3 linked regions of the Macaca fascicularis genome follow. The protein of the gene in region 1 interacts with the protein of each later gene in a pairwise test. Links are inferred from orthologs where the notes say so. Each region holds a gene or a part of one and is shown in the gene's direction. Other genes may lie near its edges. The genes, in order: FAM9B, FCHSD2 and CDC42EP4.

Region 1 (5,036 bases):
AGTAGGCCCAGTTGTCTGTTGGTCCCTTCTTCCTGTCCATATGTACTCAGAGTTTTTAATAAGAGTTTTTCATGTTCTTAATTTAGCTATTCTATTGTCACAGCTTTCTGATTTTGTTTTATTTGAAGTACAAGAGAAAATTGAATTCTCTAAAATCATTTTCTATTATTATTCCAGTAATAAACTGTGTAGTACAAAAGTAAGGACAACTTTTCTATCTAGTGAGAAACATGTAATTGGATCCAAAAACTCATAAACTTTATATTGCTGTGTGAAATATTAGTTGCACTGTTATAGGGACCATATTTTCAAAAAAGTTTGAGAAAATTTCTGTAAAGATGATGGAGACAATACTCTTACTTTTGAAAAGCTCAATTCAGTTTTCAGCTCTTCGATAGCGATGATTCATACAAGCAGTATATTTGGAAAGCTTTGCTCTGCTTGGTGACAAAAAGTGCCGGTTTTGTGAGCTGCCTAATACATTGGGCGTTATAGATGGAGACTGTATGTAAAAAATATTTGCATTATGGTACAAATCTTTTATGATTGCTGAAAACTGTTTTTAGCAATTGATGGTAGGTCTCTGATGTGAAATCATGTTTAGGAAAGCATTCCTTGCAGTATTACAGTTTTCTGAAACACAGCACTATGGGCACAAATGTCATATAAAAAGCTGCAAGAAAATATTTTAAAAGTGTTTTTGAGTGTATTTCTTTACCTAAACCTAAATTTTCATACTCATGGCCATGGCTTCTTTTATTAAAATACAGTTAATAGCATCAATCACTAGATTGCTTAAAAATGCTTTTCTTACTGTGTATTAACTTATTTCTACCCTTTGGATGGTTTTACTATATGATACTTTTTTGTGTGCTTTACATAATGAGTTGTGCAGTACTTCATGGAAACATCTCCTTTGAATTGTAGGACATTTTGTAAATGTAGAAATTAAAGTCTGTGCTTATAACCCTTTCTGCACATTTAAAAAATAGAAACTTTTAATTATTTGCTTTTTTTCATCATCCGTCAATTAAGTGATTTTCAGCTATACAAATTGGAATTGAAATACGAATATTAATACCTGAAATGTTTTACAGAAAATAAGTGAGTAAATCTTGCTTTTTGAAATGATTTTTGAATTTTATATTTTAAATATCCTTCTTGTATTGCTGAACCATAATGTCCCATATTGATGTCAGTATATGCAAATAAACTACTTTTCAACATTAACTTTTAATCCATTTTCATTTACTAACTGACATTAAAGAGGATCTTACTGCAAAAAGAAAAAAGATGAAAATGGATAAAGCTTGCAGCAAAACAAAGAACAAAAGTAAAAATGCTTTGAGAAAAAAACAACTTAAAAGGTATGACTGTTGGCTTTCTCGCGTAATGATATTTATATCATTTCTTTGTATTCGTTGGTGCAAATAATTTCAAAAACTACCCTGTACATATTGGCGTCTCTAGTGAACAACATATTTTACTTGATTGTTCTCTAAGCAGGTAAGTTTCTTTAGTTTTATAACCTCAGTTTAACAGAATCAAGAGATATTACCTAGAAGTCAATGAAGATGACCTCTTTTTGCCTTCCAGATAAAAATAGTCTTCCTGTAAAATTAATGTTTATCCATTTCTAGAAATATGGTAGCTGCATATAAGATAAATGTTCTCAATGTTTAGTCTGTAGATCCTTAACGATACTCAATTATGTAGAAAGGGATAACCTTATGTTGTAAATAAGTTATCTATTTTAGTTAAATTGTTTTCACTATTTCTTTTACAAAACCATTGGTGTGCCAAAGTGGAGAAATAGTTAAGTGAAGCATTTCTTCTGGGAAATCTTACGGGATGAATGGCTATGATATTCTTGAACCTACTTATGAGAACCCATATGTTATTCAGTAAAAGGAAATGAAAAGTAAACTGCTCTTAGAGAAAATGAATGTTTCTGGGAAACTTATAGTGCAGTAAACCCTCCTTTGTCTTCAGCAGGTAAAGAATATAAGATAGCTGCTCTAGTAGTCAGGAAGGAAGGAATCCTTTCAGAATGAGAGCAACTCATTTCACCTTTTTCCAAAAAGAAGATTTCAGCTACTATTACTCCCTTGCTACTTTATAGGATAAATTATGTCAAGTCAGTTTGGGTTTGAATAGGATTAATTTTTCATCTCTCTATGAAGTTTGACCGTGTTACTTATTATGTATTACAGGCAGAAACGTGATTATATACATTCTCTGAAGTTGCTGAATGTCCTTGAAGAATACATCACAGATGAGCAGAAAGAAGAAGAAGAAGAAGAGGGAGAAGAAGAAGAACTAATTGTTGGTATCAGGCTTAGCTTTATGTTTAACCTGTTGTATCAATGTCTCAGGGAGTAATTGTTCATGCAGAAATTCAGCAAAGAAGGAAGAGTGCATGAGCCCAGAGAGGGGGCCCGTTAGTGGACTCATGTACCAGGGGAATATAATTGCCATGCAGCATTAGGGGTCCAACTGAAGTCAGCATCATAACGATGAAGAAATTGAAGTGAGCCCAGTTGGAGTATTTGTGTAAGAGCAGCTGTAGGGTTGGAATTTCCTGGGTTGGGGTCTAGCCGAGCAGATTGACAGAGGGAGAGTTGGGCAGGGAATAGATGCAGGGATGAGGATAGATGACTGGCTGTGGAATTTCAGCTGGGACTGAGTTACCCGAGCACATGGGGTGGGCAATGGGCAGTAAACAGTGCTCCATTCAGTGGGTGTCAGGTCTCGACAGACTCCTGAGCTATAGTACTGAAGTGAGTGACCTACAATGGCAGGGAGGTAGTGGCTGTATGTTGGGAAGATGGAGAAACAGCTGACTACAGTGGTTCAAGGGCTGGGACTATGCAGCCACACTGCTTGGGATCCAACTCCAGCTTGACTGTTGCTAGCTCAGAAACCACGGAAAAATTATTTATCTCTGTGCTAGCTCGGAAACCGTGGAAAAATTATTTATCTCAGCTTGACCATTGCTAGCTCAGAAACCACGGGCAAATTATCTACGAAAGGAGACATGGTAAGAGTACCTACGTCAGAGTTGTTGGAGGATCAAAAGGTTTCTATGTAACAGGTTTATTTAAGTTTTTCAGGATGTGATCTGACCCATGGTTGCTCCTTATCATTGCTATTATTAATATTACATAGGTGTTGCAGTCATTGGGAATGACAAAATCTAGGGGATGACTGTGTGAGTGAGTGCCACGTAGAGGAGAGGAGAACACTGTTGTTGGAGATTAAATCAAGGTGCAGAAAGGCCATCATTATTGGGTGGTTCATCTATGTGCCTATTGAAATGACCAAGATTTAATACATGCTTAAAATCCTAGAAAGAATGTGTCTTAGTTAATTTCTGTATAGATCTTACCTATCTGTGGTCAACAAATTGTAGGAAGGTTCATCAAATATTCTTCATTGGAAATCGAGAAATTAGGACATACGTGTTGAATATGTGAAAGTAAGAAAATTATTTACTTAATGACTGATGAAAAAGGTTAATACATCATTTTTAGCATGTGATTGGCGAACACGATCGTTTAAAATTGGTCCTAAATGTTGTCTAAAAGAAAGTGTTCAGAAGTATTGATTTAAAGAGTATTCCTTTAAAGCTAATGGAGAATTGTGTTTTGTAAGTATTAAAATTTACCCAATTTTTATCACTATTTTGTTGTGGGATTCTAGAAAATATTTCAAGAACAACAGAAGAGGTGGCAGCAATATAGAAGTGTTAGGAGAGAGAGGCTGAAAGAGATGAAGCTGCTACGTGACCAATTCTTAAAGGTCTGTTCTATTTGGTAACATAATACATTATAAAATACACCACGTGCATAATGGAAGAAAGTCTGCTTGTTTCTGAATGTATGGAAAGACATTTTGGTTATACATTTTAAATTACTTACCATTTTCACTTTGAATGTATTGTTCCAGATATAATAGTATTGGTAAATGTATTTTTAGGATTCATGAATAGTTTGTAGGAGTTATTTAGAACAGGAAAAGGTAAAGTGGAAATTTTACCTAGAAATATACATCTTATGTATAAAATTGACACTTTATTAACACATTAACTTATTTATGCCAGAGGTTGCAAATTGTTTTTGTGTATGAAAAATCAGACCTTGGCAATGACCTTGAGCAGTAGGATATACATGATTCCCACAAGGTTAGCGTTCCTATATGGAACACTAGGCATAAATGGGTTTTAATGAAGATACTATTTTCAGTTTTCAGAACATCAATGACAGATCTATGGTGGAAGGCAGGAAGTCCTTAAATCCTTTCTGGATATCTTTTTTACTTGTGTTGTTTCAAGAGTTTTAGTTAAATAGGAAGTAGGCAAGTGTAACTACTGAGTGTCTCTTTTATTTCCTGCTGTAATACAGGAGCGTTTTAATGGCATATTCACTCACAAAATTATTAGTAATTGTTTTACATGACAATTTGTAATCATAAGAGATGGTTCAGATGTATAACAAAATGGGAAAGCCAGCAGATTATTAACACGTTGTGAATTGTGAATTATCTGCTGTCGTATAGCACGTTAGCAAATTATCATCAGACAATAACCTCTTCTTCATGTAGATGTAGATAATTTAGGAAGCAATGGAATTCTTTTTTGGGAGGCCAGGTATTCTTTTTAATAATCTTGTGAAAAGACATGTTCATATGTCACTCCTCTACACTAACTGAGATGTGTTAAATAAACTGAGAAAAGAGTTTGAAAATAAAATTTTCAAGCAACTTGAGGATGATCTATACACAGTTATTTAAATGGAAGTTACAAGTAGAGAACATGTTGCTATAATGCTCCCCAGATACCATTTATTAATTGGTAGGAACATGAAACTAGAAGTTTTCCTGTCAGTATTAATGTTCCATGTTACCACTTACGGTAGGAACTTTGCTATCGTCTTGGACTCTTTTGAGTCCATTATCCTTCCCATGCAGTTATCATGAGACAAGTTTTACCTCTGCAATGGTCCTTTAATTTCTTTCTTTAAATTCCCACTGCGGCT
Region 2 (5,237 bases), on another chromosome or scaffold:
AAAGATGGTTAGGTTTGAATTTTGATTATTTTGCTCTATTTAAATTCATTTGTCATTGTTATAATCTAGCTTTAGCTGAAATATCTGTATAGAACAAAAATTTTTAAACTCTGCCCCATCACAATTCCCCCAACAAAAATATTAATTTTTAAAATCCAGTTTATCAATTTCTACTTACTCTATCAATTTTGAACTATGAGACCTTGCAAAAGAATTACTAGGCCAGGTGTAGTGGCTCATCCCTGGCATTTCAACACTTTGGAAGGCCAGAGTGGGAGGATTACTTGAGCCGAGGAGTTCAAGACAAGCCTGGGCAACATAGAGAGACCTTATCTCTAGAAGGAAAAAAAAAAAATTAGCTGGGTATGGTGGCACACACCTGTAGTTCCAGCTACTCAGGAGGCTGAAATGGAAGAGTCACTTGATCCCGGAGGTCAACGCTGCAGTGAGCCATGATCAGAATTTCTAAAATTCTTTTCATTCTACAATTTTGCTTCTTTCTATATGAAAAGCCTCTTTGGGTGATTCATATTTTTTTAAAATAAATTCCTAATTATTTCAATAAAGTTTGTTTTTCAGGGGTCTTTAAGAATTTAGAGAGAATTAAAATAGTTTTGTGTTTAATGGCTCTGATTCTGTAATCAGACAATTACGGTTGTAACATTTAATATCTAGGACATCCAAGAAAAATTAACCTCTCTGAGCCTTTGTTTTCTTTTCTATAAAATGGTGTGGGACCCACGTCATAAAGTTGTTTAAAAAAAAAGTTATATGAATCACTTTCCATAGTACTTTGCACAATAGGAGTTAGCTATTAATATTTTTATTTAGATTTTGTGGTTTGTTCTTTGTAAATCAGAATCATAGCATACAGCTAGAAGAAACCCTTGGTGATCATTTTATCTAGCACCCTTATATTTCATATGAAGCCTGGAGAAAGGGCAAAAGCTGACTTTTAAGGTTTGGTGGCAAGTTGATGATGGACCTCTAACGAGTTCCATCTGCCTTGGGTTAGCAGGAGGGGTGCAAGATTGTGTTGCTGTTATTGTATTGTTTTGTTCTTATCTTTAATGATTCCTTACTCACATTGAAACTATTAAGTTGTTTCCATTTTTATTTATGCAATGATTTTATCACCATAGTAGGTTGGCATGAATACATTTTCTTCTTTGCTTACCTTAGCTAGCTTCCTTTTCACTCGGAAAGATAAGTCCGTCACACCCAAAAAGATAAGTCTGCAGTATTAGAGATGATGCTTTTGTGTTCAGCACTGTAAGACAAAAAGTTTATGGTCTTTAATGGTTTTATACTCATCTTACTCTTCTGGTAACTTTCTGTGACGATAAGACATTGTTTCCAGCAGTAGTGGAGTGTGCCTTATGTTTTGAGTGCTGATTAAGTGAAGGCCTTCTGATCCATCTACAAAGCAGTGGTGGTTGCAATAAAGATAGCAATATTTTTATCTCTGTTCTGTCTTGTGTTGTAGAGCCGACAATTAGAATCAGAAACTGGGACCACAGAGGAGCACAGTCTAAATAAGGAAGCTCGAAAATGGGCCACACGTGTGGCACGTGAGCATAAAAACATTGTTCATCAACAACGGGTAAGTATAAGAGAAAGTCCTAGTTACATTCACCTTAAGCCAAATGTCAAACAGTTTAAGGAGCTGAGTTTTATTAATGTGAAAAATATCCTATATGTGTTGTTTTGTTTTGTTTTGTTTTGTTTGAGACAAGAGGCTTGCTCTGTCACCCAGGTTGAAGGGCAGTGGTGTGAACATAGCTTACTGCAGCTTCAACCTCCTGGGCTGAAGCAATCCTCCCACTTCAGCCTCCCAAGTAGCTGGGACCACAGGCACACACCACCATGCCTGGCTAATTTTTTTTAGGTTTTTTGTAGAGATAGGGTCTTGCCATGTTTCCCAGGCTGGTCTCAAACTCCTTTGCTCAAGCATTGTATGTGTTTTTTCTGTACTTTCTCAACACTTAGCAGTGTGCTGTCAGCTATCTACTCATGTTGGAATTTCCTTAAGCCCTCCATCAGCAATACATTAATTCACCAGTTTACCATAAAATTGCCAAAGAAAAGCTGTGATAGTGTGTTACGGGCAGGGGAAGAGACATATGTTGAATTAATACAGGTTTTCATCCCTCAAGACATATTTTTTAAAGACACAATTATAGGTTTCATGAAAATATATGTTTGGCTGGGCGCAGTGGGTCATGCCTGTAATCCCAGAACTTTGGGAGGCTGAGGCAGGTCGATTGCTTGAGCCAGGAGTTTCAGACCAGCCTGAGCAACATGGCAAAAAACCCAGTCTCTACAAAAAATTCAAAAATTAGTCGGACATGGTGGCACACACCTATCTTCCCACCTATTCGGGAGGCTAAGGTTGGGGAGAATTGCTTGAGCCCAGGAGGTGGAGGTTACATTGAGGTAAGATCATGCCACTGCACTCCAGCCTGGGTGACAGGGCAAGACACTGTCTCGAAAGAAAAGAAAAGAAAGGGAAGGAGAAAGGGAAGGAGGACAGGAAGAAGGATGGGAAAGAGGAAGGGAAGGAAGAAGGGAGAAAATATATCTCAAAGACTAAACTCTAAGCACAAAGAAATTATTTTCAGTATAGTACTTTTTTTCTCAATTTCATTTATTGATACCTATATCCTTCTCATTCTTTGCTTTCACATCCTACTTCTTAAAAGAATTGCCTATGCTTATTATCTATAGAATCTCACCTCCCACTTACTTTTTAGCCCATTACATTTGAGCTTTCCTTTCCTTTCCTTCCCCCTGTATCACTTCATAGTCTAAGCTTACCAAAATCACCAATGATGTCTGTGTTGCTAACTTCAAAATGGACAGTTTGATTTCTCATTTTTCTTAATCTGTCAACAATTTTATCACAATTGACAACTCCCTTTGTCTTAAAATGTTATCTTCTCTAGTCATCCACGATTCAACATTGTCCTGGCTTTCCTTCTGCCTTTCTGGCTATTCCTAGATTTTTTCATAGTTTCCTCTTTCTCCAGCCCACAATTAAATATTCATTTTCTCAGATTGTTTGGCTATCTTGTTTTTTTTATTCTTTATCCTCATATAGGCATTCTCAATCACTTCCATGGTTTTACTTTACCACCAAATCATAAATTATTATCTTCAACATTGGGCCTAGCTACTACTGTGTATCCATATAACCTCTTTCCTGTTTTGACATCTTTTCACTATCTCACAGGCATCTCAGATTCAATGTTCTACTTATGTAATGTTGCTTAACAAACCACCTCAAACTTAATGCCGTAGAACAAGAGGGTTTTTACATTATCTCTCACTAATCTGAGTATTGGGTGGTCTCAGCTTAGCAGTTTCCCTTGGGGTCTCTCATGTGGCGTCAGTCAGACAGTGGCTGGTCCTGGCTTCCCCACTGAAGGGACTCTCTGTAGTAAGTTTGTTACTAGTAAGTCTATAATTATTTCAAAATGTTCAAAAAATAAATAAATGAAAAAAATTGTGGCTACTAGTCACTAAAGCCTTTTGAATTATGTAAATACTCTAATCACTTAAGGAAGATAAAAAGTAAAAAACAGTCATCATTATTGTCCCATTTTTTTTAATAGGTTCTAGATGATCTGGAGTGTCATGGACCTGCTGTATCAGAACAAAGCCGAGCAGAGCTGGAACAGAAAATAGATGAAGCTAGAGAAAATATTCGTAAAGCAGAGGTAAGGTGGCAGCTAACTGTGGCATTTTGCCCAGGTCTAATGACACTGTCGCAACTGTGATATGCACCTTTAAAACTGAGTTGCTACACACACTGAGATGAAGGTGATTCACCGTCTTCATTCGTGTCCACAGTAGGATTTTTTTTTTTTTTTTTTTTTTTTGAGACGGAGTCTCGCTCTGCTGCCCAGGCTGGAGGTGCAGTGCACGATCTCGGCTTACTGCAAGCTCCTCCTCCCAGGTTCATGCCATTCTCCTGCCTCAGCCTCCCGAGTAGCTGGGACTACAGGCGCCTGCCACCACGCCCAGCTAATTTTTTTTTGTATCTTTTTAGTAGAGACGGGGTTTCACCATGTTAGCCAGGATGGTCTCTATCTCCTGACCTCGTGATCCACCTGCCTTGGCCTCCTAAAGTGCTAGGATTACAGGCGTGAGCTACTACACCCGGCCATCCACAGTAGTATTTGTTAAGTACCTGCTCTGTGGAAGGCAGTACATATAACAAAAAGATGCCGTAAAGTTTACAGTCATGAAACATTAAATACAAAAGATTTAAGTCACAATGAAGATACTAATTTTAAAATTTCTACAAGGTACATAATAAACCACAGAGATTAATGGTAGAAAAATCGACGTATGTGTATCAATTTAGAGATATATATCAATTTAGATATATCTATCTCCTTATATATCAATATATATGGAGATATATATACATATATATTCATACATATATATTCAGAGCTTGGGAAATCTCCCCCATATGGAAGGTTCCCTGGATCCAGGGACATGAGCTGGGCTTTTAAGAATAGGGAAGATTTGGTTAAGCAAAGATGGGAAAAAATTTATAATAGTGGATTTTAATTTTTTATGGAGTCTTGGGACCTTTGAGAGTTGTATGAAAGCTGTGAAACATTCTCTCCCACGTACAAAAATGTACATTTTGTATACGGTGTTTAGAGTTCATATGCCTGAGGCTAATACTCTCTGCTCTAGATGGGGAGAGGTTGGGATAGGAAACAAGAAAGTATTAGCAAATGAGGAAGACACAGGGTATAATTTGGTAGCTGGATAGATTAGAGTGGAGGATTTTTGTGAGGAAATGTGATAGAAAATAAGTAAACTTGTTGTGGTTAGGGCCAGTTCATGGAGGACCCGTGCACACACTATCTACTCAGCAGCAACATGATGAAGGGGTATAGAGATAGACATTCATAAAAGACTGACACCATCCAGCCATCAAAAGATTATGTTCTTGTTAGAAAGGCATAAAGAATGCCAAAAATAACTAAGATGGTAAAGCATAAGTGCGGAGGAGTGGTGCATTAAGTGTAGTTGAAGAATCCAGAGGACACAGAAATCACTCTGGGAGGGATTGTTTTGGGTGTAACACAGAAGAAGACTTAAGATGAATACTGGCAGATGAATAGTATTTGATTAGTCAGATAAAAGGGGATAGCACAGACTTATGCCATGTAACTTCAAGAGGAAGAACTTGAACCAAAAGATGAAGGTAGGAA
Region 3 (5,337 bases), on another chromosome or scaffold:
TCCTGTTTGCTTTTTCTCTTTTAAATATGGAAATTCCCGAAACCCTTTTTGGAAAAAAGGTGATTTTTCCCAGGTGGATCCTCAACCTTGGCTAACTAAATCTCTGTTTGATTGAGACCTGCTTTAGTCACTTTTTGGTTTACACCCATGATAACCCCGCCAGGGTTCGAATCCACATTGTGTCTGCCTCCCAAGTGGCTCCGAACCCTACCTTTCCTCCAGATGTCCAGTTCAGAATTTGATTTTCCTTTCTTTTTTCTTTTTTTCTTTTTAGAGATGGAGTCTCCCTCTGTCACCCAGGCTAGAGTGCAATAGCACAATCTCGGCTCACTGTAACCTCCGCCTCCCGGGTTCAAGCGATTCTCCTGCTTCAGCCTCCCGAGTAGCTGGGATTACAGGCGTCCACCACCACGCCCTGCTAATTTTTGTATTTTTAGTAGAGATAGGGTTTCACCATGTTGGCCAGGCTGGTCTCAAACTCCCGACCTCAAGTGATCCACTTGCCTTGGCCTCCCAAAATGCTAGGATTACAGGCATGAGCCACTGTGTCCAGCCCAGAATTTAATTTTCACAGCAGGATGGAGTGGTCAGACCATCAGATCTCAAAAGCTGGTTGCTGTCGCACTGCAGAGGGAAACGGAAATGTGCAGTCCCCAGAAAGCAGAATGTCCCTGAGGGCTTAGTGACCTTGAAGCCGTAGGGAAAGTCTGGGGCCTCCACCCTCACTTCCTTTAAAAACCGAGGTTGGGGTTTAGCTAGAGGCAAGGGAACCTTTCACTTTGCACCTTGTCCACTTTCTTTTAGTTGACTACTTCGCAGCTGGCATTGTACCTTGATAATGATCATTTCAACTGAAACTATTCCTCTAAAAAGAATGGAGTCCAAGGCCTGGGAGTTGGATTCAGGCTCTGGGACTCAGGAGTTGATCTCCTTGACGTTCACCTGGAGCAAATTTAGCCTCAGCTGATACTTAGGAGGCAAAGGCACAGACTTGGGGATGCGGGGAGCTCAAGGGCTGTCACCCTGTAGAAACCCTTCTGACGCCCAGTTCAGGCCTGGCCTCGGGGCTGGCCGGCTCCTCCTTGCTCCCTCGTTTCCAGCGAGAGTCTGGGATGGCACCCACAAAGCTGGTGGCGTCAGCCCTCCTGCCCCCAACTCCCAACAGTACTGGAGCCAGGTGGTTAGCAGGTCCGGGAGGGAGCAAGAACGAGGGACGCCACCTGGGCTGGAGTTCTTGGTTTCCTGTCCTGGCTCGAATGGGGAAGAGCCTTAAGAGAGCCTCGCGCCAGGCCCCCGGAGGGAGCCGCGCCCCTGGCCCTGGGGGCCCCTGTGGGGGTTCGCGGCCGGAGCGCAGGCTGGGCCGGGGTGTCTCCCGGAAGCCGGGCTGGCCCAGGCTGCCCCATATGGAGTTGGGAAAGTCTCAGGCTTTCGGTTTGAACCTAGGAGGCCGAGCAGCCGGGCAGAGGTTCCCGACGGCCATTGGCTGCGGCGGCGCCGTGACATCAGCGCGGAGGGGTGCTCGGGGAGGGCGCGGGCGGAGCCTGGAAGGGGAGTGTCCTGGCGGCTCCCAGCCCTGAAAGCCCGAGAGCCAGAGGGAAACAAACGCCGGCGCTGACAGGGGCCGCTACCCCCGCCGCCGCGCGGAGCCCACAGAGGAGACAGCGCAGCTGGGTCGGCGCTCGGGTCCCCGGGGACCGAGGTAGGCGACGGGTACCCGCCTCTGGCTGTGGTAGCCGCCTTCGCGCTGGGTGCTCAGGGTGGGCTTGGGGGGGCTCGAGCCCCCCTGTGGGGCAGAGAGGATCCAAGCTAGGGATGCGAGGCCGCGGCGCGGGGAGAGGGGCGCGGAGTCCCCACTTCTCGGCGCTCGCGCTTCTCTCCGCACCCGCCGCGGTGACTGGGACCCGGAGACGCGCACCCAGTGTCCTGGCAGAGCGGGATGTGCGGAGGAGGGGGTGGCAGGGAGCCGGGCGCAGCGTCGCCGGGACTCGATTTCCTTTCTACGCTGGAACTCTTGGGCTTGGCCGAGGGCGCCGCTGGGCGGGTTGGGGGCTGGTTTTAAAGGGCCTCCCCCTTCCCAGGAATGGGGTGTGTGTCGGTGTGGGCAGGAGGGCAGCAATCGGCGGCGCGCGGCCCGCGATCTCCGCGAGGGGGGCGTGTGTGCGCCCGGAGTTCTCCGTGAATAAGAACCGAATTCTCCGCCTGAGCAGAGGCGTGTACACATCTCGCTCTCGTACACACACTGCAGCACACGCCACCCAATGTCACGCGGCCGGGGAGCCAGCGGGAAGGAGCTGTCTGGAAGGGAATGGCCAAAGGAACAAATGCTTCCCCGTTCCCCCACTCCCGCCCCGCGAACCCTTCCCTTCCCCGCCAGGATCCCGCCCCGCCCGCTCCCTCGGAAGCCCGGGAGGTCGAGGCGCCTCCCGGCGGGGTGCAGGGGGAGAGCAGTCGAGCCGCCTGTCCCTTTGGAGCCCGAGAGGCTGCTGCGCACGGGGCCGGTGCACCCAGAGCTCAGCGCGCTCCGCGGGGTCGCTGGCGGGAGCGGTTGGTTAATGATTTAATCGCCCGCTTGGGGCGGGTGCGCGCGGAACGGCCGTCCCTGGCCCCGCCCCCTCCCCGGAGCGCCCCCAGCCGGGGTTACAAAACTGCCCCCTCCCTCCGGCACGTCCCCTAGGAGCCGTCCTGCCCGCGGGGATCCGGTCAGTCGGTGAGTGCCCCGGCCAGGAGGGCTGGAGAGCTGGGCGGGAGCCGGGGCTGAGGCTGAGCCGGCTTCCTGGGAGAGGACTGAAGTGCGTGTGTGTGTGTGTGTGTGTGTGAGCGCAAGAGAGAGAGCGAGCGAGCGAGAGGGACTGGGGGAGGGGTGCTCTCTGCTAACTCAAACCAGGTTGCCTGTGTTTTCCCAGTGACTGCGGCCTGGGCTTTGGAAGTTTTCTTTTTCTCCCTGGGAGAATGGAGGGGAAATACAATGCCTTTTCTTTTCTTGCTGCCTCTGGAACTTCTCTCTCTCCACGACTCCCACCCCTTGCAATCTGACCAGCTCCCACATCTCTTACTGGGTGCCCGGTGCCCACTGTTTGCCCAGATAGCTGAGCAGCTGGATCCGGGTGGGGTCCTCGGGAGCCCCTTCGCTGCGAAGCCCCCTGCTCTCCCCGGAGGGGCCCGTGTGCTGGAGGGAAAATCTCTCGTCCGAAACCAGCAGCCATCTGGACCAGAGAAAGGTCCCATCCAGCGAGTGTAAACAATGAGGGGCCGGTGACAGGGGCCTCCTGCAAGGCAACTTCTTTGGCAGTCTGGGTTTCCAATAACTCCCGCAGCCCCCGCCCCCTTCTGAGGCTAGGGTGGAGGAGGGACCACCAGCAGGATGGACTGAATTTTAAGAGAACAAAGAACAGGCCACAAAGGAAGGGATTGCTGAGCTGCGGATTTCTCCCAGAAATCGGGAGTTGGCTGGGACTGAGCCAGGCCCTGAGAGAACCCCTGGCAGCCCCAGGGGCTCCTGGAGCAATAATGGGGCATCCACCAGGATCTCCTGAGGCTCTATCTCTGCTGGGAAGCCAGAGCCTGCTGAATGCGGGGGTGCCCTGCCGGTTCCTGCTCTCACCAACTACCCTGTGTGAGCTGCCCGTGTGACTGACTGATTAGTGGGGTGGTTTATCTCCTCTGAACTTGGACTTTGCCTCTCCACTCCTTGAAGACAGCTGCTCCTTCCCACAAGGGGGGGAGTTCAGTGAATTTGGGGAGATCCCAAGTAGATTCCCAGGCATCCTGGTAGACCCCTGCAGGGACTAGGAGGGGGCCACTGTGATCCTATGGGTGGTGGTTCTGGGGTGAGTCTCAGCGCCTCCCCTCTGAAATCTCCCTGAAGTCCTAGGGTCCCTGCCACTGAGGGCAGTTTGCTCCTGCTCTGCGGTACAGCCTAGGCCTGTACTATGAACGATTCTTCCATTTCTTGGGGTTTCTGCCTCTCTCTTTTTACATTCCTCTTCTTTTTTCCCCCTCGTTTCTCTCTTACCCTTGGCCACCCACCGTGCTTGTCCCTATCCTCTATACCCTGCCTCCACTGTGCTGGTGCCTCTGGAACCAGACAGTGCCTCACAGGACCGGAGACCAAGGAGCCACAAGCAAAGGAGTGGTCTCATGTATAAAGGTCACGGGAATGAGTGTTGACCTGGGAGAGGAATCTTACAGCATTCTTTTCATTTTAAAAATAATTTTTATTTTATTTATTAATGTTTTTGAGACCAGGTCTTGCTCTGTCGCCCAGGTTGCAGTGCAGCGTCATCGTCAAGGCTTACTGCATCCTTGGGCTCAAGTGATCCTCCTGGGCTCAAGTGATCCTCCCACTTCAGCCTCCCCAGTAGCTGGCACTACTGGCGCCCACCACCACGCCCAGCTATTTTTTGTATTTTTTTGTAGAGGTGGAGTTTCACCATGTTGCCCAGGCTGGTCTTGAACTCCTGAGCTCAAGGGATCTTCCCGGACCTTGGCCTTTTGAAGTGCTGGGCATACAGGTATGAGCCACTGCATCTGGCCAGCCCTTTTTTTTTTTTTTTTTTTTTTTTTCTGAGACAGAGTCTTGCTCTGTCACCCAGGCTGCAGTGCAGTGGCACAATCTCGGCTCACTGCATCCTCCACCTCCCGGGTTCAAGCAATTCTCCTGCCTCAGCCTCCCCAGTAGCTGGGACTATAGGTGCATGCCACCACGCCTGGCTAATTTTTTTGTGTGTGTTTTAGTAAAAATGGGATTTCACCGTGTTGCCCAGTCTGGTCGCAGACTCCTGAGCTCAGGCAATCCACCCACCTTGGCCTCCCAAAGTGCTGGGATTACAGGCGTAGGTGTAAGCCACTGCACCCAGCCCTGGCCAACCCTTCTTTACAAGTCCGGAGCTTTTCCAGAAGGGCCTTGGGTTGGCAGTGGCCCAGGGCTTCCAACCCCTTCTACCCCTTTGGAATGACTGATTGATTTCTGTGGCCAGGACTGTCTGTGCGCAGGTGTGGCCGAAAAGTGTTTGATGTTGGCCTTTCCCTTTCACTCTTCCCCATCCCACGCCCCCATGTTTGGATTGGGTTCGAAGTGAAGAAGTCAGAAGCCAGAGTGGCCAGGGTTGCGCTTGGGTGGCAGTAAGTCCAGCCTTCTGTGTTCTCATTCTGGTTCTGGAGACTCAGAGGAGTTTGTCCCTGTTGGAGGAGGGAGGAGTCCATCCCTTGGAGGAATGGGGAGCTGGGTTGATGCCAGAGATAAGGCCTGTGGGCGGAGGGAGAAGGGTTGAGCAATCTTGCCCTGGAAACAGAGCTGACCTGAGCTCTGCGTAGGTCTTCTGACCTATGTACTGGAGG

What was found.
Region 2: the proteins of FAM9B (region 1) and FCHSD2 interact in binary tests that used the Homo sapiens proteins (3 or more experiments, as listed by UniProt). The two-hybrid records come from large-scale screens. The link is inferred for Macaca fascicularis from reciprocal best matches to the Homo sapiens genes FAM9B and FCHSD2.
Region 3: the proteins of FAM9B (region 1) and CDC42EP4 interact in binary tests that used the Homo sapiens proteins (3 or more experiments, as listed by UniProt). The two-hybrid records come from large-scale screens. The link is inferred for Macaca fascicularis from reciprocal best matches to the Homo sapiens genes FAM9B and CDC42EP4.

The regions. Positions count from the first base shown.
Region 1 is NC_088395.1:8,680,918-8,685,953, reverse strand, and holds part of FAM9B (protein FAM9B), read left to right. Parts: intron 1-1,267; coding exon 1,268-1,367; intron 1,368-2,213; coding exon 2,214-2,325; intron 2,326-3,702; coding exon 3,703-3,801; intron 3,802-5,036. UniProt on the Homo sapiens protein: May play a role in meiosis.
Region 2 is NC_088388.1:71,690,783-71,696,019, reverse strand, and holds part of FCHSD2 (F-BAR and double SH3 domains protein 2), read left to right. Parts: intron 1-1,486; coding exon 1,487-1,603; intron 1,604-3,614; coding exon 3,615-3,719; intron 3,720-5,237. UniProt on the Homo sapiens protein: Adapter protein that plays a role in endocytosis via clathrin-coated pits. Contributes to the internalization of cell surface receptors, such as integrin ITGB1 and transferrin receptor.
Region 3 is NC_088390.1:79,651,157-79,656,493, reverse strand, and holds the start of CDC42EP4 (cdc42 effector protein 4), read left to right. Parts: upstream 1-1,590; 5' UTR 1,591-1,699; intron 1,700-2,672; exon of another isoform or gene 2,673-2,707; intron 2,708-5,337. UniProt on the Homo sapiens protein: Probably involved in the organization of the actin cytoskeleton. May act downstream of CDC42 to induce actin filament assembly leading to cell shape changes. Induces pseudopodia formation, when overexpressed in fibroblasts.